Oryzias latipes: one gene and its partners. The protein of the gene in region 3 purifies or fractionates together with the protein of the main gene of each other region. This does not show direct contact. Links are inferred from orthologs where the notes say so. Each region holds a gene or a part of one and is shown on either strand. Other genes may lie near its edges.

Region 1 (8,830 bases), on a different chromosome or scaffold from region 3:
CAGTCTCTGGTCTCAGCACTTTGGTGGAAGCAGCATTTTATGCTGTTAAATATTCATTAAGTATTGACTTCTGCTGTCTTCTAAGGAAACTAAAATACTGTCCGTACAAATAGATGAGTCGTTATTTTTTACTACTAATGTTTCCATAACAACTAGATTAGATTAGCCACATATGTGCTGACTTGCTAATTGACTTAGCATGCTCCTGTTAGTTGATTAACACGAACAAAAAAAAAAAAAGCCAAGATTCCAACAGCTATGAAGACAATGGAGGACATTCATACAAACAAAGATCCTCATTATATACACTGACATGTAGACAAGAAGAATGTGCAAATTCTCTTTTGAAGTCTGGAAGCAGAATAATACATTTCTGTGATTTTTTGACATAGCTAAGACATTAGAAACACGTGAAAACTACGAAGATTAAAATGGAATTGCCCAACATCAACGTACCTTGATAAAGGAGACATTGGCAGGAAATTGCCCGGGCTGAGGGGTGGGTGTTTCGGTCAAAGGAGGTGCAGCGATGGGTCCTCTGGAGATCCGTAGAGACACGGGAAAGGAGCAGCTCACTGACTGATCAGCGCTTTGCTTTTCACAGTCTCCTTGTCCTGTCTCTCCTGTTTTGTCATCTTGCCTTGGAGTCCCTACATCATCTGTGTGACAGAAGCCATTGTCACTCTCAGCCTCCGCAGTGCCTCTTTGTCCTCTCTCTGCTTTGCAGTGCTCCTCTCTGCGCTCGGTGTCCCTGTGCTTCTCGTCTGTCCCCGTGCTGACATCCTTGTCATTTCTTTCTTCCTGTTTAGCAGCTTGTCTGGCCTCCTGGGTTTGCAGCTCAGACAGATAATGCCTAATGTTTTTACGAGCTGCATGGATCAACCCACCATCTATATCGAGCCCCAATATGCGTGCAGGCCGCAGCATTTTGGCAATGTAGAGTGTTAAGTGACCTGAATTGCACCCCAAGTCCAGCACATCTTTACCTTCAAACCACTCCGGACGCAATACACGAACACGCGGGTCTTCACTGTTGCCCGGGTTGCGATAACCATAATATTTATTGTAGTTTCCATACTGGAACTTCTTTTGGTGTCCTTTTGCCTGACTGTGAGGTTGCTGGTACGAACGTGACCCCCCTCCAGTTTTGGGACCAATTTTTGGTGTGTGAAAATAATTTTGTGCTCCGCCTGTACCACAACTTTTGTCATTTGGTGCTAATTTACCGCTGGGAGTAGAATGGGTGACAGGAGGATCAATTTTGCCTGAGTTGCGCCTTCGTCTGCGTCTTCCGGCGTGGTGGCTTGGCCCCCCCGACAGGGGGCAGGTATATTCTTCGACAGGTACAAACAGCGTCTCATCTTTGCCGCTTGCTGCGTTCTCAGCTGTGCTCTCGTGGGAATCTGCCGTGACACTAGAGAAACTCATGGACTCTTTAGAAGAATCGAGAACCGAACAAGAGCCTTGCGTACCTAAAAGTTGTGTGGAGGAGCTCATTTTGACCTCACTTTTTGTCGATTCGGAGTGGTTCGCCTGCGTTATTGGAATCCCACTACCAACTCCGCCTCCTCCACCACCCCCACCATGATGTCTGTTGCGATGCCTTCTTCTTCCTCCGCTCTTGTAGGGGGACACCAAAAAGCAGTTGTCTGCTATCCCGCTGTTCAGGTTCAGAGGATCAGTTATATCTCTCGGAATGAGGATCTCCACTGGATCTCGACTCTTTGCAGGAAGTGGAGAGGATTTTGGTGTCTCTGCGTTAAGTGCCCTGTTGACCTCCTCATCCAGGAGGCTGTTCAGATTAAGCGGGTCAAAAATGTTGCCACCCAAGAGAAAGTTGGTGGGCAGGACAGAGTCACTCTCGGAGATGGCTCTTCGTCTCCTCTTGCTCGATGTGGGATGTTTGAAGTTAGAACTGGCTGTGTAGCGCCGCTTGGTTAATTTCGTTTGCTGTTGCTGTTGTTTGGAGTGAGGGAAGCTGTTCCTGCGATTGATGCTGTTCTCGCTCCCTCTGGCTTTTTGTCCCGCGCTGTCTGTGCTCGTGTGCTTTGGTGAGGCTGCAGTGCCCGGGACAGGACAGGCAGCTGCAAAGTCATGCGTGGCTGCATTTTCCTCCATCATCACGGACACACTGCTGTAACCTCCAGTACAGTCTGAGAGCTGCAGAGATGGCGTTGACCTGGCCTCTAAACTGCCAGTTTTTATGGCGTCCTCCTCGACAGACATCTCTGTTAGTTTCCAGAACTGTTCATTGAAACTTGTTTGTCCTTTGTCTGAAAACAAGGAAGAATACAGCTGTTAAAGGACCATCTGATCTCTTATAATCCCTTGAATAAAACACCGTAAACATTAAATTAAGTTCCAAAAAAGTGCCAAAACAACCGATAGGTAGATTTTTGTTTAATTGCATTACAAAGAATGCAAAAAAAAAAGACAATGATAATTGATGTTTTTGCCAACAAAAACTTTAAATACCTAATCTGATGAAAGTTTTTGTGGCGTTTTTCTAACAATGGAGGACAAGTATAAAGACAATATAGCTAAAAATTTTGTTTCTGAGTGTTCCTTTATTCCAGTTGTTCCAAATCAGGGGCAGATGAAAAATGCCATTGGAAAAAGCTTGAAGCTGTGATGTGAAACCTACAACGACAAGCAACAAATTTATTCATCCTAGATAATGATATAGGTTGTTTTTTTTTGGACTAAAAACGACAAAATTTTAATTAAAAGACCACTGAGAACACTTTTTAAAATAGACTTTAAATAAGTAAAATCATAATTTGGGATGTCATCTGCAACATGCTTTGGTCAAAAATGCTAGTACAGACAAAACATCTTTCTTTTTTAACCACACTGTTCCTGCTTGGTTCATGGTAGCATATAGAGGGAGGTTCCACCCGTCTCTGCTGCTCTACCTTATCAGAGATACATAAGGTTTATAGCATTTGTGCCACCTGATTAGAAGGCACAAATATTCCTCATGCACTTCCTAACAAAACTACATTCAAACTTAAACTAACAGAGAAGGGACAGAAGGTCATCATATTCTCCAAAACCAAAAATACACCTTTAAGATGTGACGTTGCTATTGTTGTTGCTATTGTTTTTGTGCCTGTGTAGAAGAAACATGTTTGTTCTTCCACTATTCCTACTGTTTAGAGCCTAAAAGAAAGGTTAATGCTTTTGTTGTTGTTTTCAATTGAAGAGTTAACTTTTAAAAAAAAAAAAAAAAAAGATGACAATCCTATATTTGTATATCTACAACTTCCTGGATAAACATTTCTGCAACTTCATAATTCATTATCAGCTTTACATTAAAAAAATAGATTTGGATGTTACCAAAACTAAAGTTTGAAGTTCTCAGAAAGTGGTTTTATAAAACTGTAGGATATTGTCATGATGATGTCATTTGCAAAAAAATCCAAACAAAATATTTGGATTTTCAGTGTTTTCGGTTTTAGCCTTATTTTAAAATCATGCAAACTGCATTATCTATGATTGATAAAAAAAAAAAGAATTGATTTGAGATTCATCGACATTGTTTTAAGGAAACTTCAATCTGTTCTTTATGGTTGCATGCATTAAAAGTCATCTGGGGAGTCAGTGTGCAGATTCTGGCCTCCATAATTAAGTCAGGAAAGTAATAAGATGGACAAAACGAACAGCAAATAAAATCATAAAGGAGAATCCGGGCATATTGAATATATAAAACATATAATTTTCTTAATAGTAAATAAATTACTTTGTTTTTAGCTGAGTGTTGCATTTTATTATATTAATTTTAAAGGTCCTACGGTCCGCGGCAGATTTTTCGTTAGCATTGCCCTCCTGACAGGCTGACATCTGAAGCGTGTCCACTCGGAGGTTGCTGACCTGAGAAGTTTCTGAGTCAGAGTCTGGAACAGTAGTTTGGGTTAGCATGCTAGCCCTTAGCTCCTCCATCGTGGGCCAGAGCTCTGAAAACGTCGCCTAAACGTTTAGCTCTGGAGCAACAGTGGTGATAAATAAACGACCAAGTACCCACCTTCATGCGCTGACGGGTGAATCCAGAACAAAAATAAACAAACAAATCCCAAGTCCGGTACGGGAAAGTGATACTATGTCCCAGATGGCCGCCGAACAGTGTGGTCACCGTCAGGATCCCAGTGTCACCCCGCGGTGGTGCTCTCCCCGCCTCCGGCCGGGCCGTCTCCACCCCGCTCTGCTTCCACTCAAGCTAACGTTAGCCTAGCTAGCACCCCAGTGTCTCCGAGCCCAACGGCGCTCACGGTTTACACGCAAAGCACGGCCTGTACCCCACTAGGTCTCTCTTGTTTCCCCCACTGCCTTGTCGACTTGTTCGGTCAACTCCAGGCGGACAGTTTGGTGAATAAATGACAGCATTCGCTGACGAGAGTCGGCATGGCGGCGCATCCGGGCTTCGAGTTGTAAGCTTAACGTGACCGGGGCGGAGATCTGTGAGCTCGCGCAAGGTAGTGGGAACTCTTTGCCATTAGATTCAGACCCCTAATCCCAGAAGAGGCCGCGAGCGAGTGGAACTTTTAATGACAGTCAGCAAACACATTTTAATGAACAAACTTGGCCATTGTTTTGGTCTAAAAACGGGACTATAAAGGCACAGATGCCCAACAACACAAAGTAGGTCCACATTGAGCAATTCTGCGGCCCTGACCACCCTCCCACCACCTCATCCTTCATCCATCATTTTAACAGTAATCTCTCATCTTCAGTATATTAGTAGCACTTTTTAAAGCATAAAATAAATCTTATTGTCAAGAGAAAAAAATTATAGCAATACCATTAATTATCTTCTGTCTGTCTGTCTGTCCGTCCTTTAAGTGAAATAATGTGATAAAGTGCTTAAAAGTTTGGAAAAAGCAAAATTTCTAATAGTAATAGATTTAATTTCAGATCTGTAATTGAACGAGAGTATAAAATAATACTGACTGTCAAACACCTCAACAGTGTGTGTTTAGATTTGTTTAATCTTTTGCAGCAGCAGTCAAATGAATAACCTTTGCTTAATTCTAAGTCATGGAACAGATCCACAAGTGGCCTCCTCAGTAACCTGCTCACAACTTTACTTTGGATTTTCTTGAAAGGAAGATTCTTAGCAGAATTTCAGATTGATGTAACCTTTTACATTAATGCATGATCGCTGCTTATAAGAAATTGGCCAAACAGTTGTGAGATGCTGTCTGATACAAAGCTGTGAAAGTACAATAGTTTCCTGTAATATTTGTAACTATCTAACTTGGGAAAATAAAGTGAATTTAGGAGTTATGAACTTTCTCATCATTTTATATTACATTTGTTTTCTTTTTGTAAAGGGCTATTTCTTGATTTATAACAGCTTTCTTTTACGGCAGCAAATTTCAACACTTTCAAGCAAATTCATTACAGTTAGCAGCCTGAAATGCTTAGTTTGAAGCCAAAAGACATTTTAACACATTTTTAAAAAGTGTCTCAAATTTGACATTTAGCTGATGTAACAGCTATTTCTAAATTAAATGACCACAATTAATTTTTCATTTTACCACGCATGAAGTGATATTCATGCTAACACAAGCACAACTTTCTAAGTAGCAAATGAAAACATTAAATATTTGCTTTGAATAACTTGTTTTTTTTTCTTCCAAACCCTTTTTTTTGCATTTGCTACACAAAGCTCTCCCTGTATTTTGATTGAAAATCATCACTCTCAACTGTTTATAGATCAAGCCATGTGATTTTCTGTCTTACAGCCTTTATTACGTTGAGGGTAAAATCAAAATAGTTATTTTTTTAAAAACAAATTGGCAAAATATATGGAAGGTACAGTAACAGGTAAATGAAAGAAAAAAAATCAATGACTACAATAAACTATTCTTTCTTGCAGTAGCATGTTTTTTTGTACTCTACATGTTATGTATTTTTATTGTTGTAGGTCAAATGAAAGTGTACAACTACAGTTGTACACATAAGCTTTAGGGTTGTTTTCTTCTACATACTTCATATTTCCAACACAATTATGAAGTATTTCTGGTATTTAAGTCTATTTGGGTGTTAGTGTGAGATATGACTGCCATCATGGACACCTTGATGTTGCTTCAGTGACCTTTTACATCTGTTTTCTGAATGGCCACAAGGGGGCGATCAAATCTTTTTTTTTTACCATTTTTCTAAACAGTTTTATCCTGCGTTTAACACTGGATGTTCTTTCAGAATTTAATTTTTACGCGTTTTTTAAGGCTATATTAGTTTTCCCTTTCATCGTTGTAAGTAAACAGACTCGATTTTGATTTGTAAAATAAAATATCACTTAACTTTGGATGTATATGTTGAGTTACTGTAATTGTGACAGGCACCAGCACAATGTTTGCATGCCCTCCAGAGGGAAAACTGCTTATGTGCATGTGGTCAATCGAACATTTCAAGTTCATAAGTAAATTCTTATCCAGAGTAAAATCCTCCAGTAATATTCAATAAATGCTTGAATGCAGCTGTAACATCAGTGTTATCTCTCTGTACTGTAGGCCTGGTTCTGATGGCTATCACAAAACCCCACAAAACTCCACAAAAACAGAAATTCAAATCATTGCATCAATTCTTAAAACAATAATACAATAATAACGACTATCAGTGACTTATACATGTAATATTAATAATGCAGAAAGTTTGATATATTTTTCCCCTAACCCTTAACATTATGCTAATATAAAACTTTTTGGAAGACAATATAATAAAAATAAATAACAAAGTAACATTTGGAAAAAGGGAAAAAAATGTTTCAACGGGTGTTTTATTATCTCTGGTAGTCTGAGTGTGGAGCATGCTCCTAATTGCTTTTCAAATCAGTGCAACAGACTCTCCGGTTTAATGAGTCACCCCTCCTTTGTAGTCTCTATGGAAGAAAACTAAAACGAGAGGGTACCTGTCCCCCTCCTTTTCTGTCACCCTCTTTTCTCATGGTAATGTGGGTGCGGTCTTCAATCCCGGACACCATCTGCCCTTCCTCAGGGTCTGCGCCTCAAGCGCTCTGGACATATTCAATTGTTTGTGTGTGTCCAAGCAGAAAGTGGTGAACACATATGGTTCTTGAGGCCCTCTGTGAAGAGCACGAGCCGGCTGGTCATTATCCTGCGTGTGACAGAGGGAGGGGCCGGCTCGCGTGTCCCGTGTGCGGTCACATCAGAACAACCCCCATGTCTACTCTGTGAGTTCACACTCTGTGCCACTGTGAGTGACCGTTGGCTGCTGGTCAGCAAAGTGGTGATTGTGTCATCTTTCACGTGGGATCAAAAGCGGGAGTGATTGCCTTTTAAATGACCTGCCTGATTTGAACTTACGAATGATTCCTATGAGTTTAGGTAGACAAATGTGAACAGTGTGGGATGCTTTTCTAATATTGATATTATAAACATACATTTGAATAAACACCTAAAAAAATGCTGCAAAGGAGAATGAAGGCGACAAAAACATTGAAACTGTCAAACTAAGTATTCTGCAAGTGCAGTTAGATATTAAAGTAACTACTTCATTCCTAACAAAGAAAACACATTTAGTAATCTTCTTGAAGTCTTTAGCTGTTAAAATAGGAGTAAACTGTTAATGGTAACACAATTGTGGAAAAAAAATGAAAGGAAGTATGTCAGATTTGTGATATCACCCCTGCAACCACTGCAAAACTAGTTTTCTACCTCATTTGAACTGACGAGGTGGTCCACCAGTTAACGTGCACCACACTGACACACAGATTATGACTTTCCATCAGAGCTGCCCCCCTCGTTTAAAAAGCTGCATTCTCTTGGCTGCACCGAGATTAGTTATTGAACTGTCCAAGCAAAGGGGGAACAAGGCCGCTTCAGAGCCACGCCACACAATGAGCCAGCTGTCAGGGGGAGGGGCTCGATCAGGCCTGTGTTGTCATGGACAGCATTTTGCGTTGCCCTTTGGGAGCTGATCGGTGCCCCCACGCCCAGGTCTGGTTAATTGTTAGATGGATCGGACGCGAAGAGTGCGTGACGGCTTATACACTAGAGGTAGCCCAAAAAATAGGAAAAGAACACCAATCTTAAGAGAAAAACATCTCCAAAAGGTAGCAAATCTAGCAATTTATACTTAAGAAGAAATCTGATAAGATATCAAAATCTAAAAGCAAGATGTTTTACACAAGCTTTCAAAAGAGGAAAATCCTGTCCGATAGAATTACTTAAAACTGAATGTTATACAGCCCAATAATACGTTTTTTTAACCAGTTTTAAGAAAATGATTTGTATTATTTTGCGTTTTATGCACCTAAATGTAGTTCATTCTGATTATAGTGATAGTATTATAGTGCAATGAGTAGAAACTAGTCATTTTAGAAGAAAATGTGAAAAAACTGGTACAAGTTGGCCTAAATTAATAAAACCTCATAAAACATTATAAAATTTAAAACATTCTCAAAACAGTACCAAAAATGACAGTGCAATTATTTTCAAGTCTTAAATCAAGTTTTTCTATTGTCAAGAGTAAGGAGCAAAAGGATTTGGACCCATATAAAAGTGTTGTAACAATAATGCTCAAAGTTATACATTAACTTGCTTCTTTTTTTTCAGGAATAACAAATAACTTTCTTGGAATTTCATTTTCACAAAAATGTATGAATCCCTTTTAGATTTTTGTCTACCTTCTGGTAACCAGTGTTTTTAGTTTACACTTTTCCAAAACTCCATAGCACTAATATGGTTTATCTTATAAGATCAAGGAGCCACACAAAACAGCTCTGTATATCCGAGGTCACTGATTCTCCCCTTTGCACATATCTTACAGAGGTGTGTTTCTGTGTCTTCCTGCCAGTGTGTGATCC
Region 2 (8,166 bases), on a different chromosome or scaffold from region 3:
GCTACGAAGGGGGCGAAAACCGGATTGAAAGGGTTCAAAGAGATCATTTTGATTAGGATGATGGTGAAGTTGGGAGGCGACTATTTTGGAGATGAAGGGGACGTTAGAAATAGGACAGAGATTATTAAAGGAATTAGGATCTGAACCAGGATTTCTTTAGGATGGATTTGACAGCAGCAGTTTTGAGGAGTGAGAGGACAATACCAGATGCAAATGAGGAGTGGTTAATAAGGAATATAATAATAATAAATGACAAACTAATAATATTAGAAACAGAGACGGGAAAGGACCATCAATGGAAAAAAAAGATTTATGACCTGCCATGAAAACAACATGAACAGATAGACATGTCTAGAGATATGAAGGATCTACCTTATGAAGGTCCAAATATTCAAATACTAATAGAGTTCAAGTTTCTTGATTTTGATATTTTTTTTAAATCACATTATAACAAAATCTTTTTTCTCTCTTTGTAAGAATTTGATAAAGCTAAACTTCTCCAAAATAATGACAAGTTTTTTGATGTTTCATGCTCAAAGCCTGGTATAACTAAGCAGACGTGATCTTGGAAAACTGTTCGCTGCACCACGTGACTGAAAACTATCGACCTCATACTTTTCCGGTGTGAACGGTTGTTCACCTTTCTGCACATCCCTTCACGTATGATGAAACAAGAGATAGTTCACCGTAGAAATCCTTTACTTGGGGATTCTCGTTTGAGGTTTGCGCGCTCCCGCGGAGGGAGCGGTGTGACGCTTTCGGTAGGCAGGCAAAACGTGCTACAGCGAGTTAAGAAGACGGTTAACAGCGGCTGTCTGTCTGACCATCTTCTTAACTCGCTGAATTTAAGCGAAGTTTTAACTGCGTCATTTCTAAAAAGAAATAAAGTAGTCTAACTTTAGTACTACCGAAGTGAAACGGTCGAATTTCCTCGTAAGTAAGTCAGGCAATACTTACTAGTGTCGCATATTTTCTAGTATCGTCCGCGTGTCGAACACCAAAAAAATAAAGTTTCGGTTGAATTTGTTTTGTTTTTTTAATCAAACAATTCAGCTATCAGTAATCAATACTTACCACTACGGCGGTCGCCATCTTCTGGAATTCCTCTCGCAGAGATTTTGCGTCTGTTAAAATAGCTAATTGCGGCACTTCAATACGCATGCGCAGGTGATTGATGACAAAGCAGAAAACGAGCAGATTTTCTTTGCGCCATTTTGATGAGACAGCTTTTTCAATCATCATTGATATTTATTGACATATGAAGAATTCCTTTAAAAAAATTTTTTCCCAGTTTCACCTAAAGAATATGCAACAGTAGTTGAAGTAACCAAACAATTGCAACTTCCTATTTAAAGGGGGGAAAAAAACTAATCCATAAATTAGAATATCGCTTTGGTTGAGGCGGATATTTGGTTCAGTCTCGGTATCATTAAGTATCTCTTCCTTTTTACATACAACCCTACCCATGGGTAGATTTTTTTTTACCGAAATGTATGGATTTAAATTTGATAAAATCTTGTTTATTTGAACAAAATACTGATATATATAACACATAAGAGGTATAATTTAAAATACAACATTGTACACAAAACATGTTCAAAAACATGCTTCATAGGTTCATTGGTTACTCTAAATTGTCCATAGGTGTGTGTGCATGGGTGTGGGGTTGTCGTCCTGCGACAGACTGGTGTCCTTTCCAGAATGTCCCCTGCCTTTGCCCACGAGTGGCCGGATAGGCTCCAGCAGCCCGTGACCCCAAAAGGGGGAAAACGGAAGAAGATGAATGAATGAACATTACATACATACTTGAAAAAATGTGGGCAGATTAGTTCTGGCTATTGACCAGCAGTTGGGTCCATTTTGTGGATCACAAGAAAAAACAATTTGTCATTTGTCTGTCCTTACATGCCCCCCTTCATCCTTTACTTACTCTGGATCAGTCATCGTGGTCCCTTTGCTGAAAAACCGCCCCAAAGCATGATGTTTCCACCCCCATGCTTTACAGTAGGTATGGTGTTGTTTGGATGTCACTTTAGCATTCTTTCTTCTCCAAACATGAGGAGTAGAGTTCTTACCAAAAAGTTCTATTTTGGTTTCAACTGACCACAGGACATTTTCCCAATTCTCTTGTGGATCATCTAAATAATCTCTAGCAAACTTTAGACAGACTTGGATATGTACTGGCTTTAGCAGGACACGTCTGGCACTGCAGGAGTCCAGTCCCTGGCGGTGTAGTGTGTTACTGATGGTAGCCTTTGTCACTTTGGTCCCAGCTCTCTGCAGGTCACTCACTAGGTCCCCAGTGTGGTTCTGGGATTTTTGCTCACCGCTCGTGATCATTTAGACCCCATGACATGACCCCTAAGATCGAGGATGATCATCAGCAGTTTGAAAGTCTTCCAGTTCTCATTCAATTATTTTATGATAATTGCCCCCACTGTTGATTCCTTCACACCAGTCTGCTTACCTATTCCAGATTCAGTCTTCCCAGCCCCAAAGAGTCAAAGAGACAGTGCCAGCTTTCCGGTTCACAATTTATTGAGTTTGTGTATTATTCACAGGAACACAGTGTGATTACAGATTAACACGAGGAAACTTGTTTTGTGACAGAAAATATTACTGAAATGAGACGATTATTCTTTTGCAATCTGACCATTTCAATTCCCCCAACCCCCTGGTCCAAGCTTTGGACAGCTGCTGTTCTTCACCGACATCCTTCAAGAAAACTGGGGCTCTTTGGAAGGCCTCCAGGCCCCTCTTCAACAGAGGGTCACGGAGCCTGGGTGGTGCCAAGGCCTACGGCATTGGCATAAGCCGACAGCAGGCTGACCACCTGCCTGGTCTCCAGCGTGAGTCTGGCTTCCGTCAGCCAGTCCTCCACCACCCTCCTGGATTCACCCTTCAACTGGTTCACCAACTTAGCCGCGAGCTCCAGGTCTCCGTGCTCCAGGCAGTAGCTCGCATATGACAAAAGCTTGAACGTGTCCAAGTCCTCGCTGCTCAGCTGTGTGGGAGGGGCCGCCTGCTGGTCCTCAAAGAGAAGTGCCGCCTGAAGGTAGGACAGGAAGTACTGGTACAGAGAGTTGTGGGATTCGTCGATGAGTGCCACCCTAAGCACCAGCGACCGTAGGGAGTTGAAGCGGGCTCTGAGGGAAGCCTCGCCGTACACACCGCGTGACAGCGACTCTGCAGGAAGAGCCTCTGCCAGGGCTGAGGCGAAGTCATCTTGCCTGCAGCTGTCGCGCACCATTTGGGCTGCGCTGTCCAGAGGCACGCTGGGCTCCTCAGTGCCGGCGGTCTTCAAGGTGTGGTTGAGGGCTTCCACAGAAAGCCACAGCTGATGAGCTCTGCGGGCCTCGTCCTCCGCCACCAGGTGACCTGCAGGTCAACGCACAGCCACCAGTCAGAGCAACCGTCTGTGAGACGCCCGCTGCAGTTCCAGCAAACCATTCAAGCTGTTCTGTTCACGTCCGGAGATTGGACTGGTGCAACGAGCTGCTGTGTGTGTTGTGTCACTTACTGTCGATGGCCTCCTCCACCCCCTTCAGGCGAGCATATGCAGCATTCATGTCCAGAGTGAAGCTGTCCAGCTGTTCCTGGGTCAGCTGACGGTGCAGAGTGTCCTGCTCCAGGAGTTTACTGCTCAGAATCTGAAACCAGAACCCACAGCAGCCCCACATTAGGGACAGGTACTGAAACTCAGTGCCACATACATACGTTGATGCTGGTACAGACATACAGTCAGGACCATAAATATTTGGACAGAGACACATTCTTTCTAACTTCGTTTCTGTACATTACCACAGTGAATTTTAAATAAAACAACTCAGATGCCATTGAAGCGCAGACTTTCAGCTTTTATTCCATGGGTTGAACAAAAAGATTGCATACAATTTGAAAAACTAAAGCATTTTTTTTTAAACACAATCCCTTCATTTCATGGGCCCGTAAGTAATTGGACAATTGACTTCCATGCTATTGCATATGCAGGCGTGGGCAATTCCCTTGTTATGTCATTATGAGTGAAGCAGATAAAAGGCCTGGAGTTGATTAGAGGACTCGTGCTGCATTTTGAAGATTTTGCTGTGAACAGATTACATGCAGTCAAAGGAGCTCTCCATGCAGGTGAAAGAAGCCATCATTAAGGTGAGAAAACAGAAAAAAACCATGCCAGAAATTTCTACAGTATCAGAAGGGGCAACATCAACAGTGTGGTACATCCTGAGAAAGAAAGAAAGCAAACACTGGTGAACTCAGCAACACAAAAAGACCTGGACGTCCACAGAAGACAACAGTGGTGGATGACCGCAGATTCCTATTCATGGTGAAGAGGAACCCGTTCACAACAGCCAACCAAGTGAACAACACTCTCCAGGAGGTGGGCGTATCAATATCCAAGTCTACCGTAAAAAGAAGACTGCTTGAAAGTAGATACAGAGGCTACACTGCAAGATGCAAGCCACTCATAAGCCTCAAGAATAAGAAGGCTAGATTGGACTTTGCTAAAAAGCATCTAAAATAAGCCAGCACAGTTCTGGAAAAACATTCTTTGGACAGATGAAACCAAAATCAACCTCTACCAGAATGATGGCAAGAGAAAAGTATGGAGAAGGCGTGGAGAAGCTCCTGATCCAAAGCACACTACATCATCAGTAAAACACGGTGGAGGCAGTGTGATGGTCTGGGCGTGCATGGCTGCTAGTGGCACTGGAACACTAGTGTTTATTGATGACGTGACACAGGACAGAAGCAGCCCAATGAATTCTGAGGTGTTCAGAGACAGACTGTCTGCGCAGATCCAGGTGAATGCAGCCAAACTGATTGGGCGGCGTTTCATAATACAGATGGACAACGACCCAAAACATACAGCCAAAGCAACTTACACGTTTATTAAAGAAAAGAAGTGGAATGACTAAGTCAGTCACCTGATCTCAAACCAATTGAGCAGCATTTCACTTGTTGAAGACTGAACTTCAGACAGAAAGGCCCACAAACAAACAGCAACTGAAAGCCGCTGCAGTAAAGGTCTGGCAGACCATTCAGAAGGAGAAAACCCAGCATCTGGTGATGTCCATGAGTTCAAGACTTCAGGCTGACATTGCCAACAAAGGGTTTTCAACCAAATATTAGTAATGACCATTTTGTTTTCAGCTCTTTCATTTGTCCAATTACTTAGGAGCCCATGAAATGAAGGGATTGTGTTTAAAAAATGCTTAAGTTTTTCACATTTGTATGCAATCTTTTTGTTCAACCCAAAAGCTGAAAGTCTGCACTGTAATGGCATCTGAGTTGTTTTATTTAAGTCACTGTGGTAATGTACAGAAACTAAGTTCTATCCAAATATTTATGGTCCTGACTGTATGTAGCACTACCAGTACCATAAAACAAACACAGGTTTTCGTGGTTCACTTCAGTGCTTTGTTTTGGACGTGTCAATCTACTCCGTTTTGCTGTGCCATTCTAGCCAATCATGTTACCGTTCCAGTGATTGTGGGCAGACTTACATAAGAATGGGTGTGGTCGTAAGGGTGGGCGGAGCTTCAGTCAAATATTGAAGGTTTAAGCGAGTGAAAGTTTGGCTGAACTTCACAGCAAAAGACTGGAATTAGCAGCCTGATGGGTAAGAGTGACGTGAACGACGCGTTAACTTCTGCGCGTGTGAAAACAGAGATGCAACGCAGACTGCCAGAAAGAATCAGATAAAGCCTCTTAGGCAAATTCACCTCCGTCACGCTGCTTAATCACATGTTTCTGGAAAATACTGGCATATTTGGGGTTTTTTTGTTAATTTTTCAAGCTCTGGGGACAGTTAAAGCACCAGAGCGGTTTGGAAAGTATTGGTCAGTACCAGATAACCAGTATTCATCCCTACTCAAACCGTACAATCAGGGAGGGATGGTGTGGACAAAAAAAAAAAAAAAAAAAATCAAAGACAATATTCTCCACAAATCTTAAGATCTGCTTCTTCTACTTCTTATACGTTTATGGTTTACTTTATTTTGTTGATTGATGATGATGAAGAGCTGCTAATGTCTTCATGGACTGGCCAGTCTCTGAGCTCTTAGCCCTTGTGCTATCCGTCTTGTGGGACAGATAGCACAAGGGCTAGTCCAACGCGCCCCGTAGGGCTGATGTCCCTGTCCAGTGTGATTCAGTGCGAACACCTGCTCAGCTTCAGCTCGCAGCTCCTGCTCCTGGACCTTCAGCACATCTCGGACGTGGTCCGTGTGAGCCGCCGCTTGACGCCGCAGCTGAGTCCTCATCTCCGCCTCCATCACCTCCCTCACTTCGTTCATCTGCACACAGACAAATACGCCTCATCGGCATCACAGTTCATCTGGTCGGCACCCTGCCAACACAGCAGGGGCTGCAGTCCCCGCTGGGTCCACCTGGTGGTGCTGTTGCACTCCGAGAAGACGACTGCACTTCACCGTCTTCCTTTTATCCTGAACTCTTAGTTTGTTCTGAGGCATGTTCACACAGACCGTCTATAGATTTAAGGACGTAAAATTGACAACTTCCAATCTCCCCATTTTTTTACGTCAATCTGAATTCAACTTAAGACGTTATGTACAAAGAAACTGCTCATTATGAGTACAAATCCATACCTTTGTGCAAACATGGAATAATGAGAGAGCGCTCTCACGCTGCTCACCTCTATGAACACAGCCAGTTAATTAAAAAGAGCAGAGAGAAATATTGCTTTATTCTGAAAAAAAGGAGGGATTTGTTTTTTTGGTTTATGGCTACTGAGTTCTGGATTCTTGATTCTGTATGGTTTTTTTTAATACCACATTCTTATTTGATGTCTGCAGTGGTGGTCAGATGACCATCAGACATGTCTTTCCATAAAGCCTTCTGCTCTTCAGCAGAAGCTCCTGTTTCACTCCGGGGTCTGGTGGAAAAAGGCAGAACGTTGTCAAATCTGGGACTGAATCCCAGATGCATAAAAAGTCTGAAAAATCATTTCTCAAAGCAGAACTGTGACGCGCCTCAGCAGTAAACTCAGGGGTGTGGCTCACAGGCTACAGGTTGTGAAGCGCCGCTCTGGTGCTGCTTTTCAGAGCTGAGATTCTCCCATCTGTCTCTTCTAGACTGTCTGCTGGGTTTTGTTCACATGTGAAGAACAGAAGTCCTAAAAACAGGAGCTGCAGCTCCTCATCCATCACTCATCCCAAAGAGAAGATTACAAGCTGCAGAAACACATTTTCTATCATTCAAAACGCTGATAAAGGAGTATTTACTGATACTTTTTCTATTTGCTTCTGATGGATGACCTTTGTTGATCTTATAAACCGGATCCATGTTGTCCTGATGTTAGTTCATGATGGATCTTAATTGTTTTCTAACAGCACTTTTCTTCCACCACAGTGGTTTGGGTGTGACAACAAGAACTAAGGAGGTTTTCTGCAGCCAGATCTTCTTCTTCATGCTCGCCCTTGAAGTCTTTGATCTCAAAAAGCAGGAGGCACCTCTTGTTTTTTTTAAAATGACCAAACTGATGAAAGGATCTTCTAAACCTAACTGCAGCACGGGTCTGGATGTAGGCGCTCGTGTGTGTGTGGCGTGGCGGAGGCTCAGCATCAGGCGCCGCAGCTTCAAACCTTTCTTTCTTGCTCCAGCCGGGCCTCCTCCTTCACGTGCTGCAGTGAGGAGCTGACGGCCCTCTCCAGCACTCTCTGGTCCTCCAGCTTCTGCTGCTGCAGAGCCGCATCGATGTGGACCTGCTCCCGGACTCTCTGCTCTGCCAGCTCTCGGTTCAGCTGGTCGATCCGGCGGTGAGCGTGGGCAATCAGGGCGTTCAGGTCGTCCGTGGACAGCTTCCCCGCTAACAAAAACACACAAAATGGTTCAGTTCCTTATTCTACAACCATTCAGCTGGTTTAGTCTGCCGGGTTTTTGTGGTACTAAGATGTCCAAGTTAGAGGATGAAGGTGAGTCTGACTCACTGAGGCCTTTCCAGTTGGCTTGGATCTCTGGAGTCAGGCTGCTGACCTCCTTCTGGAACTGCTGCTTGGCTTCCTGGACCAGGTCACTGTACTGGGACACGATCTTGGACTCCACCTCAGCCGACTGCACCTGCATACAGATCCTTTCTATCACCATCATTGTCCTGGAGACGGCTTCTTAAGTGAGGCTGAAGAATGACCACTGCTTCTGGGATCA
Region 3 (7,156 bases):
AAGAAATTAAAACGATCCAAAACTCTGCATCTGAGTCCAGTCCTGTGTTCTGCCTTGTGTCAATTTTTTGGACAGATGAAACCAAAATCAGCTTCTACCAGAATGACGGCAAGAGAAAAGTATGGAGAAGGCGTGGAGAAGCTCCTGATCCAAAGCACACTACATCATCAGTAAAACACGGTGGAGGCAATGTGATGGTCTGGGCGTGCATGGCTGCTAGTGGCACTGGGACACTAGTGTTTATTGATGACGTGACAGAGGACAGAAGCCTAATGAATTCTGAGGTGTTCAGAGACAGACTGTCTGTGCAGATCCAGGTGAATGCAGCCCTGTCTGCGCAGATTCAGGTGAATGCAGCCCTGTCTGCGCAGATCCAGGTGAATGCAGCCAAACTGATTGGACGGCGTTTCATAATACAGATGGACAACGACCCAAAACATCCAGCCAAAGCAACTCAGGAGTTTATTAAAGCAAAGAAGTGGAATATTCTTGAATGGCCAAGTCAGTCACCTGATCTGAACCCTTAAGCAGCATTTCACTTGTTGAAGACTAAACTTCAGACAGAAAGGCCCACCAACAAACAGCAACTGTTTGCCGCTGCAGTAAAGGCCTGGCAGAGCATTCAGAAGGAGAAAACCAGCATCTGGTGATGTCCATGAGTTCAAGACTTCAGGCTGTCATTGACAACAAAGGCTTTTCAACCAAATATTAGGAATGACCATTTGGTTTGCACTTATTTAATTTGTCCAATTACTTACCAGCCCATGAAATGAAGGGACTGTGTTTAAAAATGTTTTAGTTTTTCACATTTTTCTGCAATCTTTTTGTTCAACCCATGGAATAAAAGCAGAAAGTCTGCACTTCAATGGCATCTGAGTTGTTTTATTTCAAATTCACTGTGGTAATGTACAGAAACTAAATCAGACAGAATGTGTCTCTGTCCAAATATTTATGGTCCTGACTGTAGGTTTACCTGCAGCTGTTTTGTCATCCAAGGCTGTCTTCAGGATCTGGACCTGGTCCTGCTCCAGCTCCAGACCACGGACGTTCAACCGTCAGCATGTTACTGTGCTTTCATTTCCCCCAAATGTCTGCTTTTTATTGGTCATTTCAAACGATTTAACAATTGAATGCAGCTAAATAAAAAGAAGCGTCTTCAGAACGCCGGTCTGCCTCTGTGCTCAGACTTGGCACAGTTCAGGAGTCCTTCACACGATGACGGGCATCAGGACTGATGATCTCCTGGTTCCTTCGCTGTCCGTTTGTGTGCAGATGGCTTCAGCATTAAGAGGCCCATCTGTCTGCTGGACTCCTTCAGAATGGCTGCTAGTTGTTGTCATCCTGTCGCCACACATGCACCCCCTTCCCAGACGTGACAGTGGAGGAGCTTTGGAACCAAAACGGTAATCCATCATCGGAGCAGAACCGGCCTGTGGTGGTTTGATGGTTATGAACACGCAGCATACATGTGTGGAGGAACGTGCACATGTATGCACTGCACAAAAACCAAATCTGGACGGCAACTATAAAGGAGAATATTTACTACAAACCACAACTTTTCAAATAACATGAATGCCACTTAAAGCAGATACATGCAAACTAACCTAAAGACATAAACATAGGCAAGGCAAGTTTATTTGTATAGCACAATTTGTACACAAAGTAATTCAAGGTGCTTCACAAAACAGAAAAATGCATTAAAATCACAATACATCATAGAAATAATCAACGTAAAATGTACTTTAAAAAAAAAAAAAAAATTGAAAATTGATTTAAAAAGAAAGGAAGGAAAGGAAAGAAAAGTGCAGATAGGACCTTTCAGTCATATAAACGGCTAAACAGAAATGTTTTAAGTCTAGATTTGAACATGAACACAGAAGACGCCTGTCTTACGACTTCAGGGAGGCTGTTCCAGATTTTAGCTGCAGAATATTGAAACGCTGATTCCCCTTTTTAGTTCTGACTCTGGGAATCAACAGGAGGCCGGCCCCTGAGGTCCTCAGAGTACGAGATGGTTCATATGGCACTAACATGTCAGAGATGTACTTTGGTGCTCGGCCATGGAGAGACTTGTACACAAGCAGAGCTGCTTTGAAGTCTATTCTTTGAGGTACAGGGAGCCAGTGCAAAGACCTGAGCACAGGACTAATGTGATCATACTTCCTGGTTCTGGTCAGGACTCCAGCAGCAGCATTCATACAAACATACAGACACAAGCTGGAGCAGAAGAAACACCAGTGACCCAAAAAGGCTTTCAGTAAATCATTCATTTAAAACAAATGAACAATAAAAGAAACTGTTTGAAACTTATCCTGTCCAACAGCTGAAGGCCTCTTTGTTGGACAGATTTGACTGTTACAGTGGGGGTTCATGGATCCTCAGACAGACAGAGTATATTTATATAAACCCCTTTAGGATTTGAGGCTAAGCTTTATTTATAATATTCATATTTGTATGTATTCCTTGTTGGACTAGACGGAAAAGGAGAGAGAGAGTGGGGTGTTAGAGGGGGGGTAAGGGGTGGGGGGTGGGGGGCTGATAATACAGAGTCATAACATAATATCCTCAGTAAATTGCATGACTTAGTTCACACATCAACCAATAGTCTGCACACAACTGTTTACAGGATGGAAGTCTATTCATACATTCATGATGGAAGATTTATCTCACAGGACTTCTGCACCCAGACAGACACACACTAGATCTGCATTACCAGTATTATTGGAGGGGGTGTAAAAACAACCCCCACGCCCATATTTGTGCTAAAGTCAATCAGCAGTTACTGAGGCTTTCTCCTGCTGCCAGCTTCAGTTGCACATCTTGAAGGCGTTCAGCTGTGATGCCAGAGGTGAGCTGCTGATGCTGCATCCTCCTTCAGAACTAAAGGTTTTCATTCCAAATGACAGCTTTGTTTTGGAACAAACTCCTTATCGCTCATCACTTTACCACATCATCGAATCATTCGGTCCTTGTTACAGGGCCACGCCTCTGGTTTTGTGGTCACCTCCTGTTCTGTCCTTCGTCCTGGGAACAGATGTTCCAGTGTCGACCCTCGTCTTCTTCCGGTCTCTGAATCCAACGCCGCCGCAGCAGATCTCTGACCGACCTCACTCAGGAAGCCTTTTCCTGCAGCCGGTGGGTCTGCTGAGCAGCCCTTAGACTGAACAGCCTCTGCTCTGTCCGTCCTCTCAGGTTTGTGGCTTTGCTCTTCCGTGCACACGTCCATCCATGATGGAATAAAGACGTCGCGTTCTGATGCCGTCACGCTAAACGGTCTCATCAGAATCCAGCCGGGAATACACAGACCTACAACGGTCCTGTACTGCGGTCTGGCTCAGTCAACCGTTTTCCGGGTCGTTGGACCCAATTACCTTCAGGGGTTTCCATGTTTACGTGCTTCCACATGTAAACAAACACGTTAGTTTTCCTTCTGGCTCAATTGTAGAACATGCCACAAACCATGAATCCAGGTAGCTCCTCCCCCTCCTAAACATCCCAAAGGAACAATGACGGCGTTTAAGTCAAAAGCTCAGAGGGTTTAGTGTCTGCGGCTCTCATCGTCACTTCCTCTCTAACCGACTCACACAAGTAAAAACCACTTTCCTGCTTTGCATTCAGACGTTTCCATAAATGTTCACGATTGTGTTGCTTTATTACAAAGAACATTTGAATGAAAACAATCAGTTCAACTGAAAAAGCTACCAGATTCTGGATAAAGGAGCATTTCTGTCCGTTTCATTCCTGATCCCATAAAACCTGAACGTTTGATCATAACTGGCCTCACAGCAGAGTCTCCGGTCAAACTCGGTCCAAGACGTCCAGTGGGGCTAAAAGACTCGGTCGAACTCCGTCTGACTGGTCGTGGCCGGGTTTCGGTTCTGGTTGGGCTGCTGTTGGGGGATGTGCCCCCTCCGTCTGGGCGGGGCCAGGTACTCAAACATGGACGTGTTGTGAGTGGACAGCATGTTCTTGAGGTCTGAGGGCATGGGGTCGGACCAGAAGAAGTCGTGGTTCAGGGCGTCGTCGCTGTCTATGCGCTGAGCCGGGTCCAGAACCAGCAGCTTGTCGATGAGATCCAGGGCGTAGGCGTCCTTCACGTAGGCTTTGAGGCGGTCCTTGACCTTCCTCTTCTGGCCTTTGGGAAGCTCCATTTTCTGGTACAGTTCATACTTTTTGTCCACGCCGGGCCACACCTGGAGAAACAGAAATGATTGACAGCGAGCTGCTGCAACGCAGAGCCCCGCCCCCAAAGACCACTCGCCTCTGCAGTGATGGAGCCACACAGCTGGCTGATCAGGGTGAGCTGGTGCTGCTCCGTGTTGCCTTGCATGATGGGACTTCTGGTCCACATCTCCGCCATGATGCAGCCCGCCCCCCACAGATCGATGGGGGGGCCGTAGTCGCGCTCCCCTGCAGGGAAGGAGAACAGGAACGCGATTGGTTTCCTGTTGAAGCCGTCTGCTTCTCGACTCGTCAGCCTCTAAAGACCCGTTTCCCTGACGACCACGACGTTTTCAGCCATGTAACCTGAAACCCGCGTCGTTTTCCGGAACCGTTTCTGCAGGAGTCGGGGCCGCAAAAAGGGGCCATGCAGCATCTGGGTCGCATAGGAGCCCCAAACCAGAGCTGTGAAAAGTATTTACAGTCCGCATTTTTTAATTTTACAGCTGTGCACATATATTTACATGATCAGTGACAGACACTCCTCATGTCTGGAAGACGACATTTCTATTAGGTCTGGTTCTTCTTGTAACAAGTTCAAATGTAGAAACCGATCTACGTCTGAAGTACTGAAGCAGAAAGTGTCCGTTAAAACCTTTTGGTTCTCTTGTTTCTTCACTCCCAGCTCAGTCAATCCTCCATTCTGGCCCCAAACCCTGAATCCAGTCACGTCACTTTTTAAAAAAAATCATTTCACAAATGAACGACTGGAGTCGCGTCGTCACCACGCATAATATTACTACTAAACACTCTCCATAGTACTGCTTCACAGTGATACAGCACAAGATGGTTACCGGTCCATAAACGCACAGGAAGCTTTAGGCTCCAACATGTGTCACGGATAACCGGATGAATAACCGGACCTCTTGGTGTCGTTGACCCGGATCTGTTTTCTAGACTGCAACGCTGGATTTCTACCAGACATCCTGAAACACTGAGCCGTGTCCAAACACGGCTTTTATTTCTGATCCCCGATCCACACGGATCCCTGCCATGGTCCGGCACACGCGTGTACAGTGGCGTTCAGCGGTACCGCCGTGACCCAGTTTGAAGGCTTGTTGTCCTGGCGCCGTGGCGGGACAAAGACGCTGCTGTCTGTCCCAGTGCGACGGGCTGGTAGCAGCAGGGAAGGTGGTAAAGCCGGACATCGTTGCTCCGTTTTTAAATATTCTTTTGTCGTTTCCCAGATGAACCAGAAGACTTCCTGGATCTGGGTGGTTTTTTACAATGGGAATATCGTGAGTTCAAAGGTCGGTAATGTTTAATAAATAGACCTCGATGAACAAATGCTTGGATGTGATGTGTGTACAAGTACTTAAATATATACTATGAAGGCTTTTTTCTTGTCGTTTGGTCCCATCTTTCTTTTTTTGCTGATCTGCTGCAGATTTACTTTCCAACAACATAAATGTGAAATCACCAAGACAACAGCAGGAATGTTCCGTTTTTGCACAAAGCCCTGAAAGACGACATTCTAATGTTTAAATTCCACGTTTCCAGCGTTCCTCAGCGGTTTGCGGCGTTTACCTAACAGCAGCTCTGGAGGTCTGTACCACAGCGTGACCACGCGGTTGGTGTAGCGGTTCCCCTGGCTGTTCTTAGCCAGGCTAAAGGCCCGGGCCAAGCCAAAGTCTGCCAGCTTGAGGACTCCGTCTCTGGTGATGAGGACGTTGGCGGCCTTCATGTCTCTGTGAAGGATCTGAGAACATGGAGGACATGCCGATCAGGTCTGTTCATCAGGTAGGGTTCATCTAGGCCAGCCTGACTGTAATAATGAAGCTGTTACACTAAAACACGACAAACTACAACAGCTGGGGAGCCGTTCCTGTGTTTACGCTGCTGTGTGTCGTCCCACCAACAACAGGTCGACAAATGTTTCTACTACAAAAGCCAGGAACTCCATAGATGGTGGACTCTGACCTCATCTGTTCATGAAAACCAGCAGCTGATCTGAGACTCAAAGTGGAAAAGCATCAGAGTATCCGTGCCACAGACATGATCTGTTCTTCTATTGACTTTATCCACTAGAATCAGAGAAAAACGTAGAAAAGTATGAAATATTGACAAAAAACAGGCAACAAAAACTCCCATCACCCACAGCGGGAGGCTGAACTTCTGCCACCATTTCAATTGTGATGTCATGTTAAACTGGCCCTGCCACAGACTGGTGACCTGTCCAGGACGCCCCCCGCCTTTGCCCACACGTGGCCGGGATAGGCTCCAGCAGCCCCGGGACCCCGAAAGGGACAAACGGCAGAAGAACAATGACCGACTGAATGTTAAACCATTTTATTTTGCATTCAAAATGTTAAAGTTCTTTGACTTTTCCAGAAGGTCTTTCAAACTTTTCAAGGACCTAGAAATGACATTTTCCAAAACCTTTCCAGGTTCTTCATGACCGTATGAACCCTGACCCACGGCCTTGCAATGCTAGTAATGTGTTGGGTGAAGATTTTTAAATAACCTTTTCAGCCTCAATACTAACAACGTTTTGCTTTAGAACAAACGGAACATTTCAGAGTTACAGTCCAAGTGAAGTTGGAGGCCAAAGTAAGAACCCCACCTTGTTTCTGTGGATGTAGTACAGCCCGTTGAGGAGCATCTGCATGACCTTCTTGATCTCCGCCAGCGTGAACTTCACGTTGGCGTTGCTCAGCAGCCCGGCCAGGTCGTGTTCACAGAAGTCAAAGACCAGGTAGATGCTGCCTTTATATCTGTTGAACTGAGTAGCTGTTGCAGGAACAACAAAGAAACGTCAACCAACACACCTCAGGATTACGGCACACACCATGACCCAAAGTATGAACCCCTACACATCTGAGGTAGTGCAGGGTCAGGGGGAGTTCAGACTGGAAAGGTCCGGTCCAGACCCAGTCCACTAAATTTGGTCCAGATCAAGTCCTGAACTTTGCCTTTGGTCTGTATTCAGGCTGAA
Region 4 (7,676 bases), on a different chromosome or scaffold from region 3:
TCCTGTTTGAATAGGTCTCTGAAATGATGATTCTTCCAAGGCCTGGCTTTTTAGAATGCATTTGTTGCTCATTCACATTTATCTTTAGTTTTATTCAATCAAAATTCTTATTAACGTGGCCAAGAGATGCCTTTGAAAAAATTTAAAATAAAGCTTAATCTAGTCCAGTTTAAAACTACTTGTTTTTTTTCTTTTTCTTAAAATGCAATATGCTTAAATACGGCTTTGTTCATCACACAGCTGCACTTTAATTAAAAAAAAAAAAAAAAAAAAAAAAAAGGAAACAAGCCCTCTTCTGTTTTGAACCTGCCCTCACCGGGTCCTGTAAAAGGGGATGTCTTCTTAGTCTAAAAGCAGTTTGTTGCAAGGCGGTTTCGTTTTGAAGACAAGAGGCAGTGACAGATTCTTCGAAGATGGTAGGTGAAGCAGAGACAAGACAATGCATTTCTTTCCACTTTAAGCTGATTTGCTTTCCCCAAAGCCTACTTGTATATCCAAACATATATTTAATAACATAGACTTATTCTGGGTTTTCATAAGTCAACCAACCCCCATATCTCTCAAACAGGAAACAGCATTTTTGCACTCTGCTCCAGTGCATTTCCTGCCCCCAGTATGTCACAATAGCATTTTTTAACTTTAACGCTTAAAGAAAACACACAAAAAAGAACTATCTAGGTTTAAAAAGATATTGTTAATGTCTTCTATTGTCAGCCCCTTTATTTCCATTTCTGGAGGATGTTTTGATCTTAGCATAAAAAGTTAAAAGAAATAAATAATGTTTAATTTACCGTCACACAGTTTGACCTTTTTCTCGTGCATATTTGACATTTCCAGTCGAGCTCCTTGGTTGTTTGTGAAGTGGATGAAAGTCTGAAAGAAAAACTGAAGAAGTTTAGATTTCGAAAAGAAACCAACAATGCTGCTATACTGAGTAAGTGTGAGAAATACTTGCATGTTTTTACTGTCAGTTAACAACTCAGCTTAAACCCAAACACCATCAAAAGTGTAATATTGAAATGATTGTCCTTTTTACAGTGAAAATAGACATGAAAAAACAACTTGTTATCCTGGAAGAGGAGTACGAGGTGAGATTTGTTATTTATGTTTACTACAGTATTACAACATTATCATTTTTTGTCCAATCATGCATACTGAGCTTACAGATCACTACTGTAAAGATCACTTTAGGGATATGAGCAAAATGCAGTGATATGTGAGAGCTTTGGCCAGGGTTACTGTGTGAGTGTGTGAAGGTACACATGTATATGAAAACACCTGACGCTCAGATCTGTCTTCCAGGACATTTCCATGGAGGAGTTGAGAAATGAGCTTCCAGAGCGCCAACCCAGATATCCTTACTGGCAGACGTCAATTCGTTTACTGTAGATGTTTTTCACAGGGTCCTGGAACGTAGGGTCTTTTTCAAACTACCTGTAGAAAAAAAGTAGTTCACTTGAAGTTTATTTCAGTAAGTGTACTTGAGTATACGTATAGCAATTAAATCATAGTACATGTAGTGTAAGAAGTATACTAAAGGAATACTTTTCATTTACAATATATCTATATTGACTATAAAGAGTAAGAACGTATTTATTTAACCTTAAACTCTTATTCTGTCAGGCTGTTAATCTTTGTTCTAGTACACTAAACAAATATTAGTCTAGTATTCAAATATTAAATTGTAAGACTTGTAATAAAAGTTGTATTTCCTTGACCACCGTGAACATTTATTGTCTACAGCTACAAATATGTCCATGCTGATGGAAGGGTGTCTTATCCCCTCTGTTTCATATTTTCCAGTCCAATGGGTAAGCAATCTCTTTTAACAAAACAGGAGGTTTAATATCAAAATCACAGCTTCTGTTGGCAAAGAATACATTTACAATCAAATAATTTCTAGCTCTAGTTTCCAAGCCCACATTTTGACAGAATCAAAAAATATATATAAATAAAAAAAACAGTTTAAAAACTCTGAATGTAAAAATTGTCTAAGTATGTTTAGTTCTTGCAAAATATATTTAGCAGTTTTCCAGATTCTTGAATTTTCCAAAATTCTGCAACAGTTTCTGTTTGCACTGATGCTTATACCATTGTCCCCCCCCCCCCCCCCCCCCGACTGAACTGCAAGACTTTTTAGGATTTTTCTTATCTGCAAAGTTATATCTGCCTAATAAACACCACGTAACACATTTACGGCTGTGTTTGCCTCTTGTTTTATATGAAATTATTCATCAATGACTAATCAGCAGAAATTGTCCATGCTGTCACCAGGTTGTAAGCCAGAGCAGCAGATGATGTATGCAGGCAGCAAGAATCGACTCGTGCAATCTGCAGACCTCACAAAGGTAAACAATGATTTCCAATGCGGCTGCATGTTAAGAGAGCTCTCTCATATTATGGTGGGATTCAAACTGACAACTTAAATTGACTATTAAATAAAAACCTTTTCAGCTTCTTGCTAAAAATCACATTTTTTATGAAGTAAAACTTTTTACGATTACTTTCATTTTTTAATTTTTTAAGCTTAAAAGAGCCAAAAATTCTTATTAATTCTCTTATTGTTACAAAGTCTTTTTTTTTCAGATTTCAGCTTTTATTCTTTTAGTCCAAGAAACATTCATGTGCTAAACAAATTGACTCTTGCAATATCAAGTATAATTGCAAGAACTATAACATGTAATTCCTATTTTCACTTGGTTTGACGTGCAGTTGCATGAACCTAACTTGTGACTGTTTTGCTCTGGAAGGTCTTTGAAACCAGAAATGTCGATGACTTGACAGAAGAGTGGCTGAAGAACCAGCTGGCGTTTTTTCGCTGAATCTGCATCGTCTGGCAGCATCATTGTCAACCGCAACTACCACTTTTATTTGTTGCATAATTAAAATCAGTGATTAAACCACTTTGTTTTCCATCACCTTTAAAGTGTTTAACTTCATATTTTCTTCTTTTTTTGTCGTCAAGTTCTTGTAAATCTAAAACCAAATGAACTAAAACCAAATGTCATTGATGTCATGAGCTGTTCTGCTCGATTGTGTTGTATTTTCCAAAAAAAAGAAAAAATAATCAAGACTTTTGGAAAATGTCACCAGTAATTTATTATCAGTTTCAATGCCTGAGTTGAAATCAGTTTGTCAAAATCAAATTGAACAAATTTATGCTGCATTGAAGGTCAAGCAACAAAGGATTTGCGTACAAACAGATAATGAATGAATGTAACCCAAGTGAAATCTCAGGGATAAAAAAGTGGATTCAAGAAAAAATCTTATGTAAAGATGCGAGGAGCTACACTAATGGAGCTCCAGCGCCAAATTCTGCGACTGTGCTCGGTGACAGAGGAAGGACACATGCATATAAGCTCCATCAGCCCAAACACACAGAGAACAAAGGGTTTGCTCTTCAGCCTGCAGGTTTTAATCACTGTCACTGGCATCACTGGAGTCGGAGGCTCTTTCGCTTCCGCTACCACTCTGAGCCTGCGCCTCGGAGTGGTCACTGCTGTGGTTGCTGGGCGCTGGAGAGGCACTGCGACTCCTGGTGCCCCTTCGGTTCTGCCCTTCCTCCTCGCTATCGCTGCCTTCGTCCCCGCTGCTTCTGGCCGAATTCTTGGGCTCGTTGTCATCGCTGTCGTCGTCGCTGCCGAAGATCTCCTCCTCGTCTCGCATCTCCCTGGTCCTCTCTTCGCCGCTTTCGCTGGCACTGCCACTGGACTTCCTCCGCCTTTTCCGTCTGGCTTCGTTGTCCTCGTCCTCCTCTGCGCTCTGTTCCCGCTCTTCGTCTTCCCTCTCAGATTCACTGCCGGAGTTCTCTGCCTCACTGCCACTTCCTTTCTCTTTTTCATCACCTAAAAGAAAAAAACACAAAACAATGAAAAAAATGACTGACATTGCAACTGAAGTAATTCCTACAGTTCAAAATAAAGCAGTTGTTACAAAAAATACTACAGAATCCTTTGCATGATTAAAAAAAAAAGAAACTTTACCAGAGTCCTGCATGTCTTTGTCCAGGTCTTCCTCTTCATCTTCAGGTTCATGGTTCTCAAGCTGAGCTTTACGTGCCTCCTGATGATGAAGACGACATCATTCATAAGAGATTTGTGTCATGCAACATAAAAATCCTGATCCTTTGTCAATAAACTGCTGTTCTGAAAGATGTGTGTGTGTAAACAAACAAACAAACAAACAAACAAACGGAGCAAGGACCTTACCTGAGCTTCAAGCTCTTTCTCATTCATATCTCTGTGCTTACAAACAAGCACAGCATTTGTTGTGGACTGTGCTCCAGCCTTGGCTCTTCTCTTACTCAACCGCACCCTAAAGGTCAAAGTTAAAGTTAAGAAAAAACAAGTACTGAACTGTTTATCGAACCTCTAACCTGTTGGGAAAACAAAGATCCTGCCCTACTTTTTCTCTACATCAGCCAAGTGATACAAGTTTTACATTTAACTAAAAATATATGGAAAGGAATTTGTTGAGATTTTTCTACTCGCCTGGTCTCCAGCTCGTTGTAATAAACACCATCTCCATCTCTGAAGATGAAGAAGTAGTTCTCCTCATAACCTTTGCTGGCTTTGTTTTTGACATTCCAGTTGTATTCTCGCGCGATCTTGTAGTCGTAACTGAAACGAAAAAAGTCTCAAGATTGATCTTGTTTTGGAACAACATCTAGATGTTTTTTAACAATGCCGTTCTTCCACTTACACATCATCCGCCATGTATTCCACTCCCTCCTCGGAGTCTCTCTTACGCTTGCGAAGTGTTTCCTCGTGGGGCAGGAAGTAGGCTACAAACTGATTCCCCTCCTCGTCCATCATTCCTCTATCATAAAACAATTGTTTGTTTATGTTTCATAAAGAGACCATCAGGATAAAAACTCTGAATGTACCTAATCATCGCCTGGGACATCATCTCCACTCCTGCTGGTGCAGATATGTCTTTAGGAGCTGGATCAGAATCGAAGATGACCTGAGCGCATGGGTTGATCCACATCTGAGGAAAGCCACAATGCATACAAATCATTAAAAGAACATAAACATGGACAGACCATTTCTTATTTTTTTCCCTATATATACACATATCTTATTTAATTAGTTGTTCTAGTTTCTCCTTTTGCAGCAAGTGATTTTAAATGTTCAAAAGAGATTACCAAAATATTAACTGTTGCATTTCATCTTGTGGTAAAACTCACTTTAAAGTCAGGGAAAACTGGCAATATCTCCACAGGAGTAACTCTCGGTTTACTGTAGTGCTGTGCGATCTGTGGCAGAAAGGAAAAAAAAAAAAAAAAAAAAAACATCTTTAGATTTACCAAGATATTTATATATATATATATATATATATATATATATATATATATATATATATATATATATATATATATATATATATATATATATATATATATATATATATATATATATATATATATATATATATATATACACACACACACACACACACACACATATATACACACACCAGCGTGACCTTTACCAAATTTTCTAGCATTCCCTTGCAATTTCTACAATGCTGTTACACATCAGAACTGAATTTCTGCATGTACTGTAACTGAAAAAAAGATTTGATCCAAGTCTCTAAAACTTAAGCTACACAATCAATTTTAATAAGCTAAACAAGACCATACTGGTGTGTATTCATTTGCATTTCTTGATATTTTTCAATTTCAGGTTTGGAGGCCATGCACGTGTTGGTAAGAAGTCTGCATACCGATTTCTGTGCATCCTCGAATGTTTTCTCGATAGCGGAAATCTGGCTGTCTCTGTCCTTGTAGATCTCTTCTTCTGTGAACTGCTGTTTGACAGACACACCAATTCTACACACAACAAAACACAACTGACTTCAGTCAACAGCAACAAAGAAAAACTGCAGGATGTCCCGCTATATCCTTCTATGAATCTATGATAACTTACTTAACTTCCACCTTCTCGTTAGAAACACCATATCTGTTAAACTCTGTGGAGATGTACTCTGTCTTTCTCATCCATGGCACCACTTTGGCGTGCTGTTGTGACCTTATTTAAAAAAAGAAAAGTAGATTTATATGATCATATGTCCAACTAAGCCAAATGTTTGATAATCATACCTCTTTGAGCTGGAAGGAGCCTGAATATCTTCTTCCAACAGTTTTTCATCAGCAGGGTCCAACAGTACTGAACATTTAAAACAATAAAGCATGGGCTCAGCGTGCACAGACATTGGATATGCCAAATATGTCCACTAAACGAATGCGACACAAGTCGACAGATGGAGACTTACTGGTTGGGTCTATGCGGTAAGTGTCTGGGTTGATGAGGTCAATAGTTACTCCAAGGTCAGGTTCAGTCAAGAGCTCATGTTTGTGCTGCTTCTCTAGAGAGGTGGCTTTATACTGAACAAATCTGTCACACACAAAAAAACCCATTATCAATCTGTATACAGTTACACTTGGTTGATTTTCAACTTTATAATCTCTAGCCCTCCTAGAAGAGTCTTGTAATTGTTGACCTTGATGACAAATCTTTGTTTAAATGTTTTTATTTTCCTAACTGGGTAAGAGATTGTGCAACTCCTGTGATTTCTGCCCATTTTTGGTCCACCTCTATATTTGCAACTATAAAAACAACTCAACAAAAACTTGATATAAACAAAGTATATCAATATTGTCATTTTAGCTTCAAGGCACAACACAGGAACAACAAAAACCAAGAAAATGAACAGATATAGACATTAAAACCACACAATGAAATGTTTATATGCATCCACAAGGGATGCCTCAACTCCTGGTTTCACACCAGACCACATGTTGCACCAGTGAACAGAATTGTAGGGAAGGTTAACCGCTACGTGTTTACGTAGAAAGCCTCAAACACATGCTAAATTTAAGAAGGATTTATAATTTTATTACATTACACCACCCCAACTGAAAGTTTTTTCTTCATTGTTACTTGCTTATTAGCAAATAAAAAGAATGATTTCTCTGCATTTGTAATTTTTTGTTGTTGCAACAAAATATTGACCTAAAAATTGAAGTTTGAACCGAATCGTGGAGAAAGTGAATTGTCGCATCCCGAACACAAACCAACATTTCCTGGGACTGGCAATATAAATACATCAAATCCGTGTACCAATTCTTTATAGCCACTGTTGTATTTTTTCTTTTTTCTTTTTAATTTACAAATTTTATGTGCAGTTTAAATCACTAACTATTTGAAACCAGTTTTTTATAACCATAATTGGTTTCAGAATGGAAATTTGACAAATAAATAAATTACATTAAATGCTACTAAATTGCAAGCTCTATGGCTTAACCCATAAGACCCAGACCCATTTTTCCTGATATACCACTTGGACAACAGAAGATTTCTTATGTTCTTAAGTTACACTGATGTCCCCATTGTTTTTGGGGGGTTAAACCAAATATACTAAAGTGATACCCAACTGCACTTTTCCATAGTCGTCCCAGTGTGCAAAACACAACAAACCAAACGCTAATCAATTTGTAGATAAATAAGCACGTGGATTAAGGTAGAGATGTCCTCAAATTAGGAGAAAATCATTTTTTTTCACATACATTGTAATATCGTAGCCCCTGTTGAGGACTAATAAAAACACAAATAGTTACCTGTGCTGATCAAATGGATAAGTGATGAATTTCGGATCAAAGGGGATGTCAGGCA

Evidence for each region.
Region 1: the proteins of cdk9 (region 3) and mepce purify together in Homo sapiens (affinity purification with mass spectrometry; 10 studies listed by BioGRID and IntAct, counting the BioPlex papers as one, with this or other methods). This does not show direct contact. The link is inferred for Oryzias latipes from reciprocal best matches to the Homo sapiens genes CDK9 and MEPCE.
Region 2: the proteins of cdk9 (region 3) and immt purify together in Homo sapiens (affinity purification with mass spectrometry; 3 studies listed by BioGRID, with this or other methods). This does not show direct contact. The link is inferred for Oryzias latipes from reciprocal best matches to the Homo sapiens genes CDK9 and IMMT.
Region 4: the proteins of cdk9 (region 3) and paf1 purify together in Homo sapiens (affinity purification with western blotting; 3 studies listed by BioGRID and IntAct, with this or other methods). This does not show direct contact. The link is inferred for Oryzias latipes from reciprocal best matches to the Homo sapiens genes CDK9 and PAF1.

What each region holds. Positions count from the first base shown.
Region 1 is NC_019872.2:14,591,098-14,599,927, forward strand, and holds the start of mepce (7SK snRNA methylphosphate capping enzyme), read right to left. Parts: upstream 4,500-8,830; 5' UTR 4,025-4,499; intron 2,274-4,024; 5' UTR 2,227-2,273; coding exon 457-2,226; intron 1-456. UniProt on the Homo sapiens protein: S-adenosyl-L-methionine-dependent methyltransferase that adds a methylphosphate cap at the 5'-end of 7SK snRNA (7SK RNA), leading to stabilize it.
Region 2 is NC_019868.2:4,715,110-4,723,275, reverse strand, and holds the end of immt (MICOS complex subunit MIC60), read right to left. Parts: intron 8,080-8,166; coding exon 7,950-8,079; intron 7,829-7,949; coding exon 7,605-7,828; intron 6,297-7,604; coding exon 6,165-6,296; intron 3,651-6,164; coding exon 3,521-3,650; intron 3,379-3,520; coding exon 2,771-3,378; 3' UTR 2,517-2,770; downstream 1-2,516. Other genes in the region: eukaryotic translation initiation factor 4E-1A, read right to left, coding at 1,075-1,161. UniProt on the Homo sapiens protein: Component of the MICOS complex, a large protein complex of the mitochondrial inner membrane that plays crucial roles in the maintenance of crista junctions, inner membrane architecture, and formation of contact sites to the outer membrane.
Region 3 is NC_019870.2:30,291,845-30,299,000, forward strand, and holds the end of cdk9 (cyclin-dependent kinase 9), read right to left. Parts: intron 6,952-7,156; coding exon 6,785-6,951; intron 5,921-6,784; coding exon 5,749-5,920; intron 4,411-5,748; coding exon 4,262-4,410; intron 4,194-4,261; coding exon 3,828-4,193; 3' UTR 3,622-3,827; downstream 1-3,621. UniProt on the Homo sapiens protein: Protein kinase involved in the regulation of transcription.
Region 4 is NC_019871.2:11,068,350-11,076,025, reverse strand, and holds the end of paf1 (RNA polymerase II-associated factor 1 homolog), read right to left. Parts: coding exon 7,622-7,676; intron 6,399-7,621; coding exon 6,277-6,398; intron 6,171-6,276; coding exon 6,104-6,170; intron 6,033-6,103; coding exon 5,931-6,032; intron 5,834-5,930; coding exon 5,728-5,833; intron 5,258-5,727; coding exon 5,189-5,257; intron 4,990-5,188; coding exon 4,886-4,989; intron 4,819-4,885; coding exon 4,702-4,818; intron 4,620-4,701; coding exon 4,491-4,619; intron 4,315-4,490; coding exon 4,209-4,314; intron 4,063-4,208; coding exon 3,984-4,062; intron 3,846-3,983; coding exon 3,415-3,845; 3' UTR 3,075-3,414; downstream 1-3,074. Other genes in the region: glia maturation factor gamma, read left to right, coding at 414-416, 838-934, 1,039-1,088, 1,303-1,352, 1,729-1,811, 2,275-2,348, 2,751-2,822. UniProt on the Homo sapiens protein: Component of the PAF1 complex (PAF1C) which has multiple functions during transcription by RNA polymerase II and is implicated in regulation of development and maintenance of embryonic stem cell pluripotency.